Stegostoma tigrinum: one gene and its partner. The protein of the gene in region 1 interacts with the protein of each later gene in a pairwise test. Links are inferred from orthologs where the notes say so. Each region holds a gene or a part of one and is shown on either strand. Other genes may lie near its edges. The genes, in order: med31 and selenbp1.

Region 1 (7,970 bases):
GAAGAGGAAAGCCCATTTCTGATGAAGAGTCTAGGCCTGAAACGTCAGCCTTCCTGCTCCTCTGATGCTGCTCAGCCTGCTGTGTTCATCCAGCTCTACACCTTGTTATCTCAGACCCCAGCATCTTGCTGTCTCTGAGCATCTTTGAACATGATATTTCATAGAATCCCTACAGGGTGGAAACAGGCCCTTCGGCCCAACAAGCCCACGCCGCCCCTTGAAGCATCCCACCCAGACCTATCCCCCTATAACCCACACACCCCTGAACACTACAGGCAATTTAGCATGGCCGATCCACCTAGCCTGCACATCTTTGGATTGTGGGAGGAAACCCGCACACACACATGGGGAGAATGTGCAAACTCCACACAGACAGTCGCCCGAGGGTGGATTTGAAAACGGGTCCCTGGCCCTGTGAGGCAGCAGTGCTAACCACTGAGCCACCGTACCGCCCCAAATCTTAGAGGATCGAAGGCTGAAATGGTTTGGGCAGGGGTGATATGGAGCTTGGGACCCTCTCTGCTGCTGAAAGCCACTAGTGCTGGGACGAATAAAATCTGTACAAGAACAGCACTCCAAGGGTGTGCAGAAAGACAGGGACTCACTCACCTGAAAGATTTGAAAACAAGGACGAGAATTTTTAGAATTTATTTAACTGGGAGTGAATGTAGGACAGCGAGTACAGGAAGTATGGGACTCAGTAAGAGTTAGGTGTTGGCAGCTAAGTATCAGATGAAGTGAGGAGAGTTCATAGAACAGGGAAGGTTACGGATGAGAAAGACAGGAGTGAGGGGATCAGCAGCAGATGGGGCAAACTCAAGGGGCATGTTTACAGCAGAAAAAGTCAGCAACGCAGACAGGCATGGAGTCAGAGGTTCAGCTCAGGGTCAAATAGGACAGTGAGGTACACGCTCACAAAGCACATTAAGTTAAAACACAGGGTAATTTCTCTCCAAATTGCAGGCTCAAAACATAAATACACATTAAACAGCACACTGCAAGCAGTTACAGCTAACTGCATGACAAGACTCTGAATCATATTTAATCGCAGGGGACAATGCTCAAAGTAATCAGTAAAAGAACAGGAGTAACGCAAGAAGAAATGTTTTCATACAGTGAATGGCACGGCACGGTGGCTCAGTGGTTAGCACTGCAGCCAAACAGCACCAGGGACCCGGTTTTGATTCCGGCCTCGGGCGATTGTACGGAGTTTGCACATTCTCCCTGTGTCTGCGTGGGGTTCCCCCGGGTGCTCCGGTTTCCTCCCACAGTCCGAAGGTGTGCAGGCTAGGGTGGATTGGCCATGCTAAATGCAGGGACAGAATAGAGGATGGGCCTGGTTCTTCAGAGGGTTACTGTGGACTTGCTGGGTGAAGGGCCTGCTCCCATACCATCGGGGAATTCTACAAATGCATCGCCTCAGTGAGTGGAGTAGGCAGGTTCAATCAAGGCAGATGATGATTGTTCCTTTGAAGAGGCAGAGCAGACATGATGGGCCAAATGGCTTCCTCTTGAAGCTTAATACTTCTGCACATGTGAGGTGCATGAGAGTGGTACCAGGTGATCATTTGGGTAGCTAGTATACACAGGCCAGGCTCAATGGCCTCCACCTGAGCATGGGGCAGGCTGAGTTCAGCAACGACCGGGAAATTGAAACACTGGGCTGAAGGAGATGGCAAACACTACATTTAGACGACAGAGAAAGAGTCAGAAAGTAGGGGGCCTCCTGCTGGAGTGACATTCCCTCTAGGCCAGGTGGACAGGTAGATAGATTGTTGGCGAGTGTAGCCATCACTGGGGGCAGACAGGAAAATGCAGAGGACACAACCTTATTGCCTAGCAGAGCAGATATGAGGGATCGAATGGCCTCATTTGTACACAACAGTCCCGAGAAAGGCCCTTCAGCCCATTGTGAGGACACTAGTCACAGAGTTGTGCAGCACAGAAATGGCCCCTTTGAACCAGCTTTCCTAAACTAAACCAGTCCCACTTGCCTCGGTTTGGCCCATATCCCTCGAAACCTTTCCTATTGATGTACCTGTCCAAATGTTGTAGCTACATCCACATCAACAACTTCCTCAGGCTGTTCATCCCACACATGCACCACCCTCTGTGTGAAACATCTGTGCCTCAGGTCTGTTTTAAATCCTTCTCCTCTCACCTTAAAAATATTCCCTCTCGTTTTGAACTCCCAACGCCGGGGAAAAGATCTCGGCTACTCAACCAATCCATGCCTCATGATTTTACAAACTTCTACAAGGTCACCCCCTCAACCTCCTACACTCCAGGGAAAAAAGCCCCATCCTATCCAGCCTCACCTTATAACTCAAATCCTTCATTCCCAGTAACATCCTGGCAAATCTTTTCTGAACCCTCTCCAGTTTGATAATATCCTTTCTAAAGCAGGGCGACCACAGTACTCCAGAAGTGGCCTCACCAACACCCTGTACAAGCTTAACATGACGTCCCAACTCCGATACTCAAAGGTCTGAGAAAAAAAAGGCAAGCGTGCTAAATGCCTTCTCAACCAGCCTGTCCCTATATTAGTCTGGCACCCCCTCAGAAACACTGAGCCTTAATCTTATTTGTTCAAGCATCAGGTATGATCCAAATAAACTCCGCTGTGCTGCTCACACTCGGTAGGTGTGTCTCAGCAGATTCATTCCAAGCTGAACCCAGTGTGTCCTGGGCTTTTAAACCAGCCAACTGGGTCATTGCGTGGTGAATGTCAGTGATCAGCTCCCTTGACATGAGAATGTTGTCTTGAGTCACAACAAAAATATTAACACCTCAAAACTAGACAGGCCACAAAACATTTCCCACAAATTGTACCGAAAGAATCACCTTCAATGCTAGAAAATGTCCCAGGGCCTAATTGAAAACACAAAGGTGGAGCGAGAGATGATGACAAAACCTTAATGTAGTCCAAAGGATTGGCATTTAAGATATGGGAAGGCCGGAGATTCCAGAGGTGGAAGGTGAAAAAATGCAGGAAACATTCAACATGCCTGACAACATCCACAGAGGGAGAGGGAGAGGGAGAGGGAGAGGGAGAGGGAGAGGGAGAGGTTGGGGGTGGGGGGGGACGGTGGTGAACAAACTGCACGGAAGCTGGTATCCCATCACATTTATTTACATGTGCACTGTGCACAGGCTGTGGTCAGCCAGCTCCTCTAAATCCCCTGTTTATGTTGTTGAGCCAGGGCTTCCTAATTGGCCCAGGTTAACAACCCCAACCAAGGACCTCATAGTCAATGAGATCCACCTGGTTCCAGTCACTATAGGAGGTAAATGTTTGACACCCAGACTCTGCTTTAGAATACCACAAACACAACAGTATTTGGAATTACCCCCATCCTATCTCTGACCATAAGGGTGTAGGAGCAGAAAGAGGCCATTTGACCCATCAAGTCTGTTATAGAATCCCTAGAGTGTGGAAACAGGCCATTTGGCCTAACAAACCTACAATGACCATCTAAATAGTATCCCACTCATACCCAAACCCCTACCCTATCCGTGTAACCCTGCATTTCCCACGGCTAACCCATCTAACCTACACATCCCTGGGCACAAGGGGCAACTTAGCATGGACAATCCACCTAAGATATGGAAAGAGGAAACCCATTCAGACATGGGGAGAATGTGAAAACTCCACACAGGCAGTCACCCAAGGCTGGAATCGAACCCAGGTCACAGGCGCCACGAGGCAGCAGCGCTAATCACTGAACTACCACACTGCCCCTGTCAGCTCAGCTAGTCAATGTGATGATGGCCTATCCTTAACTCCACTTCCCTGTCATTTCCCCAGATCCCTCTGTTCTCTAACCCTTCCCAGAAACATGCATCCTGTACAGGAAACCCTGAGCCTGCATTCACCACATTCTCTCAACATGTTCAGCGCAGTAACACAGTCATCCCAAGCCCAGACTCCTTCTGCATCAGGGTCCCTCTGATAGACATAACTGCCCCACCTTCCCCTCTTTCCCAGGGGCAATGCTTCAGCCCAGGGGGCAGCACCACCTCCTCCTGAGGGTCCTCCAGCCCAGGGGACAGCACCACCTCCTCCTGATGATCCTCCAGCCCAGGGGGCAGCACCACCTCCTCCTAATTATCCTCCAGCCTAGGGGGCAGCACCACCTCCTCCTAATTATCCTCCAGCCTAGGGGGCAGCACCACCTCCTCCTGATGATCCTCCAGCCCAGGGGGCAGCGCCACCTCCTCCTGATGATCCTCCAGCCCAGGGGGCAGCACCACCTCCTCCTAATTATCCTCCAGCCTAGGGGGCAGCACCACCTCCTCCTGAGGGTCCTCCAGCCTAGGGGGCAGCACCACCTCCTCCTAATTATCCTCCAGCCCAGGGGGCAGCATCATATCCTCCTGATTATCCTCCAGCCCAGAGGGCAGCACCACCTCCTCCTGATTATCCTCCAGCCTAGGGGGCAGCACCACCTCCTCCTGATGGTCCTCCAGCCCAGAGGGCAGCACCATCTCCTCCTGATTATCCTCCAGCCTAGGGGGCAGCACCACCTCCTCCTGATGGTCCTCCAGCCAAGAGGGCAGCACCACCTCCTCCTGATTATCCTCCAGCCCAGGGGGCAGCACTGACTCCCACTGTAAGTCGGAGTGGAATTACTTCAGTTGGCAGCTGCTATCGGGAGAAGTGACCCGCTTGCGAGCAGCTCGTTAGTTCTATTCATTCTGGTAGTTTGAACTGACGAGAAGGTAGGTGCTGTGACTAGTACCGATTAAGAGAAGGGTCAGACCTGCTTAATGGAGGCTGCTGTTTACACCGAATCTCTTCGAGCGGGAGGCGGAGAGAAGAAACAAACAATGGCGGCTGCACCAGCCACCATGGAGACAGGTAAGGAGCGGAAGTTAGCGGCCACGTGATAGCGAGCGGGGCGGAAATATCTGGCTCCATGATTGGGCGGGGCGGAAGTAAGGGCCTTCTCGTTCACTCTTGAAACTGGGAGAGAGGGACGTTTGCTGCTGACTCTGGGTAAAGATAACAGTAACGGAAAGAGGCAAATCAGCCCCTTGAGTGGTTGGTAGTACAGTTTCTATGGGCCGAATGGCCTTTACTACGATGCTAAGAGCCTGTTTTGGCACTAACTGAGACAGTGGCTGTTCTGTACTCTATCTCCATTACACGTAGTGCTCCTCTGTTGTAGCACTCTAGTGATCTCAGATACAAAACGGTTGATTGGGCCCTCGAATCAACTCCCTTTTTTGTAGGGTAGAGATCCACACATGCCTCCTCTGCTGACTAACCTGGTTCTGAATTTAAGATAATGCCCAGTAAACCTGAACTCAACTCCAAACATTGAAATGTTTTTCCTAGCGAGTTTTGAGAAGATTTGTAACTCAGGTTGAGTTTCTGGATCTTCACCGGGGGCTCATTGACGATGTTACCTAGTTTTCAGACGTCTCGTCACCAAACTAACCTTCCAGCTCAGCGAGCAAACTCACATCCAGATGTTTTTCCTTATCAACTTGTTTCAAAATACTCCATCAAAATCACATCTTTAACATGCTGCATTCCACAGAATACAGGCTTTGTTTATTTCACCAAACTTGGTCATTGGCCCCTACTGATTAAACAATACCTTTGTTCCTCCAGCTAAGCTCCTAAAAAAAATTTATTCATGGGATGTGGACCTTGCTGGTTGGTGAGCATTTAATGCCTGCCTCCTAGATGCTGTGGTGAAGCTTATGGTGAGCTGCCTTCTTGGGCCACTCCAGTTCCTTTGGGGTAGGTACATCCAAAGTACTGTAAAATAGAGGGGCTTTTATGTAGGAGTTTAGGCATCAATGTATGGACACTCGCATCACACCTGAGTTTGACCTAGTGTTTATCTGATACATTTGTTCCTTCCCACGTGCATGTGCCCTCTCACACCACTAGGAATTGCAAGAGTATGACTGCAGCTTAATATGTATCCTTGACTCTAGCTGGGGCCTTTGTGATTCACTTGAGGTCCCTCCCTGAGCTCATACCGAGGCTGAGCTTCCTGGTCTGGTGGTATATTTTAACATTGCACCAAGCATTGAACTGGGCCTTGCATATTCAAGGTCATCAATCTCCATGTGATTAAGTCATACAATGGATTCAAACTATCGTAAAACAAAATTAAAAAAAACTACAGCATATAGCTGGAGAATCTCAGCAGGCTTGGCAGCATCTGTGGAGAGAAAACAGAGTTAACATTTCCAGTATAGTCACCCTTCTTCAGAAGTTCTGAAGTGTTGAGTTCCCCAGCAGTTTTTTTTTGTTTCAGATTTCCAGCATTCACAGAGTTTTTTTTTGTTTTATCCGAAGGTAAATAAGATAAGAATTCCTGGAGAAGATATGATCTACGTTTATTGTTTGGATTTGAAGTCATGCTGCAATGATAGTACGTTGTCCTGCGAAGCGTGCCGTGTGTACATTGGCTGCCACTTCCTTGATTGCAAAATTAAAAAAGATAGTAGCAGCAGGAAGAGGTCACTTGAACCGTCGAGCTTACTCTGCCTGTCAGTAAGACCCTGGCTGATCTGACTAAGGCTTCAACTTGACTTGCCTGTCTGACCTTAACCCGTAAACCCCCTTCTCAAACAAAAATCATTTTACTTTATATTTTATCTTATTTGTGATGACTTTGGTTGAATTTATGCCTTAAGGTAATGAGTAACTTGTCCTTTCCCCCCTCTGCTCTCTCTCTCTCACTCTCTCTACCCCCAGAGGAACAGGCAAAGCTACGATTTGAGATGGAGCTGGAGTTTGTGCAGTGTCTGGCGAACCCGAACTATCTGAACTGTAAGTGCCAGTGGGATTCCCCTGGACCATTGGCCAGTTGCTGTTTCCAGCAGTGACATGGTAAAGTAAGAAACCACTGAGCTTCATCACAGCTACCGACAGGACGCTTTCTCCCTTCTGCATGAGGCAGCACATCAGTGTTATCGCCAGCCTCTTGAAGCATGTCTGTGATTGAACCAGACTTGGACCCATAGATAGAGAGGGAAGTGAGTCTCTTCTGATGTAACTTTGAAACGAAGCCCTGGGTGGGGAAGGGGAAGTGCAGGAGGCACTGAGCACCAAAGTGTCTGCTCCAGTGAAGCGTAGATGCCATGCACCTGAAGAGCGTAATAGACCCACTCACTTTGATGCAGTAATGTCTGTAATGACAAGGAGCTACCTCCCCATGCCCTGGGGATGGTACTCGCCAGTTAACAGTATCATTCTCTCTTCAACATTACCTTAGTGCTGGTGACAATACCGTAATTTTCTTTTTGTTTCAATGTGGTAGTTCTGGCACAACGAGGGTACTTCAGAGACCGAACGTTTGTCAATTACTTCAAGTATCTCCTGTACTGGAAGGAGCCAGAATATGCCAAGTACCTGAAGTAAGTATCCACCCCACTGGACAGCTTTTCACAGTAATCTTTGTCGTGGGATCAATATCCACTCAGTGGTTAGCACTGCAGCCTCACAGCACCAGGGACAAGGGTTCAATTCCACCCTCGGGCGACTGTCTGTGTGGAGTTTGCACATTCTCCCCGTGTCTGCGTGGGTTTCTTCCGGGTGCTCCGGTTTCCTCCCACAGTCCAAAGATGTGCAGGCTAGGTGGATCGGCCATGCTAAATTGCCTGTAGTGTTCAGGGGTGTGTGGGTTATAGGGGGATGGGTCTAGATAGGATGCTGCAAGGGCGGTGTGGACTTGTTGGGCCGAAGGGCCTGTTCCCACACTGTCGGCATTCTGTGATTCGTATCCAGGATAGCCCCAAATGCCATACATTCCATTCCTGGCCTGAAGGCGTCTGCTGTTCACTGGGATGAAATGCATTCCGGTACATTATACAACCGAGTCTGTCAGAGTAATCTCAGAGGAACAGCACCCCCATCAATCACTCCCAGGGACAGGGACAGCACGGGGTTAGATACAGAGTAACGCTCCCTCTACACTGTCCCCCATCAAACACTCCCAGGGACA
Region 2 (8,349 bases), on another chromosome or scaffold:
AACGCTGACACTGACCCTTAACCCTAACTCCTTGCCCTAAACCTGACCCTAACCCTTAACTCTCACCCTATCGCATTTAACCCCGAACCCCAACACTTGCCCTGACCCTAACCCTTAACTCTAAGCCTAACCCTTAACCCTAAACCTAACCCTGGCCCTGAATCTAATACTAACCCTAAACCTAACACTGGCCCTGACCCTAATCCTAACCTAAACCTAACCCTGGCCCTGACCCTAACCCTGGTCCTGACCCTAATCCTAACCCTAAACCTAACCCTGGTCCTGACCGTAACCCTTAACTCTGAACCTAACCCTGGCCCTGACCCTAATCCTGATCCTAAACCTAACCCGAACCCTAACCTTAACCTTAACCCCAACCCTAGGCCTTAACCCTAACCCTAATTCTAACCTTTAACCCTAACTCTGACTCTGACCCGAAACCTAACCCTCACCCCTACCCCAACCTTAACCCCAATGCTAATCCTAATCCAATTCCTAATCCCAACCCAAATTTGAACCCTAACCCAGACCCTGATACTAACCCTGACCCATTTAACCCCTAACCCAAACTCTAAACCATCGCTAACACTAACCCTACCCCAACCCTTACCTAAATCTAACCCCTAACCCTGCAGTGTGTGCTGAGAGGGTGGAGGAAGTGGGTAACTGAACAGTGACCGATTTACACGTTTTGGTTACAGTTGGAACCTGCACTTACCGAAAACTGAACACAACATGGACTCCAATCTGTGAGGAAACAGCCTGGGCACCAAACAGCAGGTAGTGTAATATCAGAGGGTCAGCGCTGAGGGAGCGGGCGCTGTTGGAGGGTCAGCGCTGAGGGAGCGGGCGCTGTCGGAGGGTCAGTGCTGAGGGAGCGGGCGCTGTCGGAGGGTCAGTGCTGAGGGAGCGGGCGCTGTCGGAGGGTCAGCGCTGAGGGAGCGGGCGCTGTCGGAGGGTCAGCGCTGAGGGAGCGGGCGCTGTCGGAGGGTCAGCGCTGAGGGAGCGGGCGCTGTCGGAGGGTCAGTGCTGAGGGAGCGGGCGCTGTCGGAGGGTCAGTGCTGAGGGAGTGGGAGCTGTCGGAAGGTCAGCGCTGAGGGAGAGGGCACTGTCGAAGGGTCAGTGCTGAGGGAGCGGGCGCTGTTAAAGTTGCCATCTTTTAGAGTGAGCCTTTAAACTGTGGCCACTTTGACTGTGTGTATGAGCGACCCTGAGCTGCGATTGGGCGCCTGGGTGAAGGTAGGCTCAGGGAGTTGGTGTGGTGGTGGTGGGGGTGTGAGGCGGGGTGGGGTGGCAGCATATGGCTGGATTGCTGCCTGTGGGAGCTTGCTGTGCGCATTAGGGCAGGGCCGGTCCTTTCGAAAGCTAGCTGAGGACTGGGCCTGAAACGTTCCAGGAGCAGCTGAGGACAGGCGCTAACACAACGCAGGGTGTCTCCATCTCGGAAGGAAGACGCTGATCGATAAGAAAGGCCATCACCCAGACCTGCCCTCCCACCCAGTAACAGGTTTCTGGCTTTGATAAAGCCTTTGCAATGGTGCTCTCTGCCAAGCTCTCTTTTCCGGAATCTTCTGGAGTTTTCTACCCAGGATAACGCATCCAACTCCATGTTAGCAATCCCCACCCCCGACCCTCAAAAGCCCCCCCCAGTTCCATGTCATGACGGTGCAAGCAGAGTGGCCATTTGGCCCATCTGCACAGTGCTAGCCCCCACAACCTGGCAGGGTGGGCCGTTCGCGCACCCCCCTGCCCCACCTGAACCTGGGCCTATCCCTTTGCTGGCGACGCTCGGTCTGACCATAGGAGTTACGGCACAGGCCAGGGGCGACAGCTGGAAGCGCACGGGGATGGTCGCTCTGTGCGAACTGCCACCAACAGCAACTTACCCATGTCACACCAGGCTCGGGGCCTTACTCCTGTTGGCTCAGGGCCTTACTCCTGTTGGCTCCCCTGCAAAATAAACAAGGAGGTGTCAGGGGGAGTGGCGTGAGGCTGGGGCAGGGCTGGGAAAGGGGGAGAGTGACAGAGTGGTAGAGAGAGTGATAGAAAGAGCAAGTGATAGAGTGATAGAGAGAGTGTGATAGAGCGAGTGATAGAAATAGAAAGAGTGAGTGACAGAGAAAGAGAGTGATAGAGAGAGAGAGGGAATGATAGAGAGAAAGTGAGTGCTAGAGAGAGAGTGGTAGAGACAGTGATAGAAGGAGCGAGTAATAGAGAGAGGGAGACTGATAGAGAGGGGGAGTGATAGAGAGGGTAATAGAGAAAGAAAGTGACAGAGTGGGAGTGAGAGAGAGAGAAAGTGTGATAGAGAATAGAGAGAGTGAGCGATAGAGAGAAAAACAGTGATAGAGAGAGAGTGGGAAAGTGATAGAGAGAGTGATAGAGAGAGAAAATGTGATAAAGAGTGATAGAGAGAAAGAGTGACAGAAATAGTGAGTGATAGAGTGAGTAGGTGATAGAGAGAGAGTGATAGACAGAGAGAGAGAGTGATAGAGAATAGAGAGTGAGTGATAGAGAAAGTGAGTGATAGAGAGACAGAGTGATAGAAAGAAGGAGGGTGACAGAGAGGGAAAGAAAGTGGTAGAGAGAGGGAGAGAGTGATAGAGAGAGAGTGTGATAGAGAGAAAGAGTGATAGAGAGTGAGTGTGATAGAGAGAGAAAGAGAGTGACAACCTGATAGTGAGAGAGATACAAATAGAGAGCGAGAAAGAGAGTGAGAGAGAGATAGCCTGATAGCGAGAGGAAGAGAATGATAGAGATACAGTGACTAAGACAGAGCTAATGCAGAGGTTAACAGAGTGAGAACAGAGCAAAACAGAGAGTGTTGGAGGGGGAGAACAAGCCAGTGCAATGGAATAACACTGAGAGACAGTGTGATAGAGACACAGAGAGCAAACATGTCAACTCACAAGGCAGCACGGACAGACTGGTCGAGACAAACAGGGAGAGACCGAGTCAATAAGCATGCACACACTCACACGCACACACTCACACGCACACACTCACACGCACACACAGTCTGATTGATCAAAGTACACTCTCCAAGAGAAGCTGAGCCGTTGCAACACAGCGTTTTGGCACGCAAGGTTTCCCTGCACACGATTAAAGTCAGCGCAAACAGTTTTAACTCTTTGCAGGTCCCTGCTGAGGCTCCAGGCAACATGAAGGACCAGCTCCTCACTGTTGGCCAGTAGAACAGAGACTCAGCGTTACCGCAGGAAACACCTCCATCCCACAACCCCCGGGTGCTCGAGCTGGCCGGCCCTACACTCTCGGGACGCCCCCTGCTCCGGTGAGGCTGGGGTGGGGTAACACACAGCAGGAAGCTCGTGCCACCAACGGTTGAGCTGCGTCATCAGTATTTCGAACATCAATGTTGTTTGCAGGGACCTGGCCCCTTCCCACCTTCAAATGGGAACGGTTTCCGTCCTGGAGACAACATTGGCGGCGCAGGAAGAGGCGCAGACCCAGGAGGCAGCCCAGCCAATAAAGCATACTGCGTCCTCCTAACTGGGGAGGGGAGGGGACAGGAGGCTATAGAATGCAAGAGCAGGGAGCTGAGGCGGATTCTGTATCAAACAACGGTCCAGCTTTGTCAGATAATGTTGAGGCAGGCCTGGCCTTCCAGGGAAACTTGCATAGGGATTACGGCAGTGGGGAGGAGGGGATTGGAGGATACCAAAGTAATCTGAGCACTTGGAGAGCCAGCACCAAAGTGATGGACTGAATGGTAACCTTCAATGTGGAACTACTGCTGAGGCTGGAGAGTTGAGTGCCTTTCCCCGGGGTGATGCTGAGTTCAGGGTGAACTCTATCAGACTGATTGAACAGGGAAACTTCCCAAGAATCTTTTTTCTTTCTCTGAGCAAGCTGTGTCTGCCAAGCCATCAGAGAGAACCAAGGTTGCCTGATGCTGACTTTGCCGCAAATGCCAGAACATCAGAGTAACAGTCTCCAGAATGTTCTGTAATTTGGAGGCAAAACCGCTGGATACAATCCCTATGATGTGGTAGCAGGTCATTCAGCCCATCAAGTCCACATTGCTCCTCTGAAGATTATCCCACCCAGACTCATAACCCCAACTCTTTCCTTGTAACCCTGCATTTCCCATGGCCAACCCACCCTAACCCACACATCCCTGGGCACTATGAGACAATTTAGCACGGCTAACCCACCCTAACCCGCACATCCCTGGGCACTACGGGACAATTTAGCACGGCCAACCCACCCTAACCCACACATCCCTGGGCACTATGAGACAATTTAGCACGGCCAGTCCATCCTAACCCGCACATCCCTGGGCACTACGGGACAATTTAGCACGGCCAACCCACCCTAACCCACACATCCTTGGGCACTACGGGACAATTTAGCACGGCCAACCCACCCTAACCCGCACATCCCTGGGCACTACGGGACAATTTAGCACGGCCAATCCACCCTAACCCACACATACCTGGGCTCTACGGGACAATTTAGCACGGCCAACCCACCCTAACCCGCACATCCCTGGGCACTAGAAGGCAATTTAGCACGGCCAACCCACCCTAACCTGCACATCCCTGGGCACTACGGGACAATTTAGCACGGCCAATCCACCCTAACCCGCACATCCCTGGGCACTACGGGACAATTTAGCATGGCCAATCCACCCTAACCCACACATACCTGGGCTCTACGGGACAATTTAGCACGGCCAATCCACCCTAACCCGCACATCCCTGGGCACTACGGGACAATTTAGCACGGCCAATCCACCCTAACCCACACATCCCTGGGCACTATGGGACAATTTAACACGGCCAATCCACCCTAACCCGCACATCCCTGGGCACTACGGGACAATTTAACACGGCCAATCCACCCTAACCTGCACATCTGTGGACTGTGGGAGGAAACTGGAGCACTCGGTGGAAACCCACGCAGACACGGCGAGAATGTGCAAACTCCACACAGACAGTGGCCTGAGGTTGGGATCGAACCCGGGTCCCTGGCACTGTGAGTCAGTGGTACTAACCGCTGAGCCGCCCACTGTTGGGCCAGCAAGCCCGTGTATGACTGTTTCTGAAACTGGGTCCATTAGATAGCTCGACACCGCATTATGAAAGCTTGGCAGGACACCAGACTGCTCAGAGAAACAGCGGGCAGCTTAGCCACAGATCCCAGAAGGCTGGCAGGGACAGGGTAGTTCAGCAGGTAAATGGATCACGTGCTGTTATCATTCATGGAGGGAGTTATACGAGCAGGAAGCTGGTGCTGGAGATGTACAGGCCTGGAATCCCTGGCGTTGGAAAAATGTTGCTAAACGTGAAAGGGTTCAGAAAAGATTTACAACGATGTTGGAGGATTTGAGCTACAGGGAGGTCCTGGGGCTGTTTTCCTTGCAGTGTTGGAGGTGATCTTAACGAGGTTTATAACATCAGAAGGGGCACTGATAGGGGTCTTTCCCCCCAGGGGTAGGGGGATTCCAAAACTAGAGGGACATAGGTTTAAGGTGAGAGGGAAAGGGACCTGAGCGGCAACTTTTTCACACAGAGGGTGGTGCGGGTATGGAAGGAGCTGCCAGAGGAAGTGGGTGGGGCTGGTACAGTTACAGCATTTAAAAGGCATCAGGATGGGGACATGTGATAATGGAAACTGCAGATGCTGGAGAATCCGAGATAACAAAGTGTGGGGCTGGATGAACACAGCAGGCCCAGCAGCATCTCAGGAGCACAAAAGCTGATGTTTCGGGCCTAGACCCTTCATCAGAGAGGGGGATGGGGTGAGGGAACTGGAATAAATAGGGAGAGAGGGGGAGGCGGACCGAAGATGGAGAGAAAAGAAGATAGGTGGAGAGGAGAGTATAGGTGGGGAGGTAGGGAGGGGATAGGTCAGTCCAGGGAAGACGGACAGGTCAAGGAGGTGGGATGAGGTTAGTAGGTGTGAGATGGAGGTGCGGCTTGAGGTGGGAGGAAGGGTTGGGTGAGAGGAAGAACAGGTTAGGGAGGCAGAGACAGGCTGGACTGGTTTTGGGATGCAGTGGGTGGAGGGGATGAGCTGGGCTGGTTTTGGGATGCAGTGGGGGGAGGGGAAGAACTGGGCGGGTTTTGGGATGCAGTGGGTGGAGGGGAAGAGCTGGGCTGGTTTTGGGATGCAGTGGGGGGAGGGGAAGAGCTGGGCTGGGTTTGGGATGCGGTGGGGGGAGGGGAGATTTTGAAGCTGGTGAAGTCCACATTGATACCATTAGGCTGCAGGGTTCCCAAGCGGAATATGAGTTGCTGTTCCTGCAACCTTCGGGTGGCATCATTGTGGCAGTGCAGGAGGCCCATGATGGACATGTCATCTAAAGAATGGGAGGGGGAGTGGAAATGGTTTGCGACTGGGAGGTGCAGTTGTTTATTGCGAACTGAGCGGAGGATGGGAACATGGATAGGAAGGGTTTAGAGGGATTGGGGCCGATTGCTGGCACATGGGGCTGGATTAGTTTAAGATATCTGGGTCAGTGCAGATGAGCTGGGCTGAAGGACCCGTTTCCGTGCTGCACAGCTCCAAGACAGAGGTGAGGGTGTTTATTGGCTATCTCGCTTCTGTCTTCACATAAATTTGTGTATTCACAGTCGTTTGAAAGTGTTGGATTGTGAACTCGATTTGGACTGGTTCGGATAAACGTCCGCAGGGAATCTCAGTGAGGGCCTGGAGCCAGCTTGTTCGAAGTTTGGGGGTTGTAGCCTTGATCGCCGAGCCGGTCGGTGTGGTTGTAAATATTTCGCCACCCTGCTGGGTAACATCGCCAGCGTGCCCCCTCCAGTGAAGCATTGGCGTTCTGTTGCAGCTTAAGTGCCCTGGTCTGACGGAAAGTGTGGCTTCACAAAGTCTGCGATTTAGGACGGACGAGGTTAAAACAAGGGCCCAATCTCACAATAACCAAGTACGAAATCGGCCTGTACAGGTTTGTTACGAATATAAATGTAACCCACGAACCAACATTATGAGATGAAACTGAACATTTTTACCGTGAGGAGCTGCAGGACGCTCAGGGAGACTTTCATTTGTATTATGGCCCAGCGCAAAACTTACTCAAAATGTAAGCAGATAATTTAGATCCTAAACTTTTCTTAGTAGAATACGAGTTTAATTCGCATCTAATGATGAAATAAAGGTAAATTGCACAGCTTACCTCGAAAAATTGTCAGGGTGAGGGGTTTTGAGGTTGTGAGCGCAGGGTGGCCATCCTTCCCCACGTCGCCGTCGCCGAGTACTGTACCTCTCGCAGAAAGTGCTTCACGCCAAACAGAAATGATCGCGCCACGCTGGCGTGGAGACTCCTTCCCGCAAAACGGTCACGTGACCCCACCCCCACTCCCGGCAACCGATGGCACCTCCGTTATACCTAACCGCGAGTTCGTCATTTTAGAAACAGCACCAACCCCCCCACCCCAAAATGGTCAGTGCGTTACGGCCAACGTGTGTCGATGGAATGCGTCTTGTAGCAGAACACAGTGTACGCATTAGGCGTTGCAATCTGCCCGTCTCAAGCCCAGGGCACACTTTATTCGTCCATGCTAATTAAAACACAGATGAAAGAAAGAGGGAAGTGGAGTAACAACACTATTGGAAAACTAATCGATTAGTTAGCTGCTAAACAGTGACAGTGCCAACATGGTAACGCCCTTAGCAGAGGCAAATTCAGTAGAACAGATTCTGTCATGTGCAATTCTAGCAGCAGGAAGTATTTTGTTGTGACGAAGAGAAAGAGAGAGAGGAATAAAAGCTTCTACATTCAGTTGCAAGCAGGAACAGAAAGCTCAAGTTAAAAATCCTGGATCCACAGGAGCTTGGCCCCACCCATTCAGGATGCTTCTATTGTTCCAACCCTACAATCATCAAGGCCTCACATTATTGGGTCTGAGCAGACAAATCAGGACCTCTGTCTCAACCTCCCTTTATTTAAAAAAAGCACAAATTATGGTAAGACTGGGATAGATAGGTTCTTGATTGTCGAGGGGATCAAGGGTTATGGGGAGGAAGCAGGAGAATGGGGCTGACGAACTTATCAGCCATGATTGAATGGCGGAGCAGACTCGATGGACCGAATGGCCCAATTTCTGCTCCTGTGTCTTATGGTCTTATAATCCCTGCAGTGTGGACAACAGGCCATTCAGCCCAGCGAGTAGACAACAAGCCCCCGAAGAGTGGGCTGCGCCCTCAGAGAGCAGAGTCGACAGACTGAACGGCCACCATTGGCATTTTGAAGTGTGTCTTCACCAGGAGGGTGAGGATAACCGAAGAGTGCAAACTAAATAACTGCCAGAAGGCCGAGAGGCAATAGCAAGGAAGGGGAATTGTAAGGATTGTGGAACAGGGTCA

What was found.
Region 2: the proteins of med31 (region 1) and selenbp1 interact in a two-hybrid assay, tested with the Homo sapiens proteins (2 studies listed by BioGRID and IntAct). The link is inferred for Stegostoma tigrinum from reciprocal best matches to the Homo sapiens genes MED31 and SELENBP1.

Annotation. Positions count from the first base shown.
Region 1 is NC_081380.1:46,203,228-46,211,197, forward strand, and holds the start of med31 (mediator of RNA polymerase II transcription subunit 31), read left to right. Parts: upstream 1-4,613; 5' UTR 4,614-4,770; coding exon 4,771-4,861; exon of another isoform or gene 4,862-4,999; intron 5,000-5,620; exon of another isoform or gene 5,621-5,712; coding exon of another isoform or gene 5,713-5,752; intron 5,753-6,319; exon of another isoform or gene 6,320-6,349; coding exon of another isoform or gene 6,350-6,395; intron 6,396-6,721; coding exon 6,722-6,796; intron 6,797-7,286; coding exon 7,287-7,383; intron 7,384-7,970. UniProt on the Homo sapiens protein: Component of the Mediator complex, a coactivator involved in the regulated transcription of nearly all RNA polymerase II-dependent genes.
Region 2 is NC_081400.1:4,884,031-4,892,379, reverse strand, and holds the start of selenbp1 (methanethiol oxidase), read right to left. Parts: upstream 3,280-8,349; 5' UTR 3,182-3,279; intron 3,147-3,181; exon of another isoform or gene 3,129-3,146; intron 3,073-3,128; exon of another isoform or gene 2,910-3,072; intron 1,951-2,909; 5' UTR 1,891-1,950; coding exon 1,887-1,890; intron 1-1,886. UniProt on the Homo sapiens protein: Catalyzes the oxidation of methanethiol, an organosulfur compound known to be produced in substantial amounts by gut bacteria. Selenium-binding protein which may be involved in the sensing of reactive xenobiotics in the cytoplasm.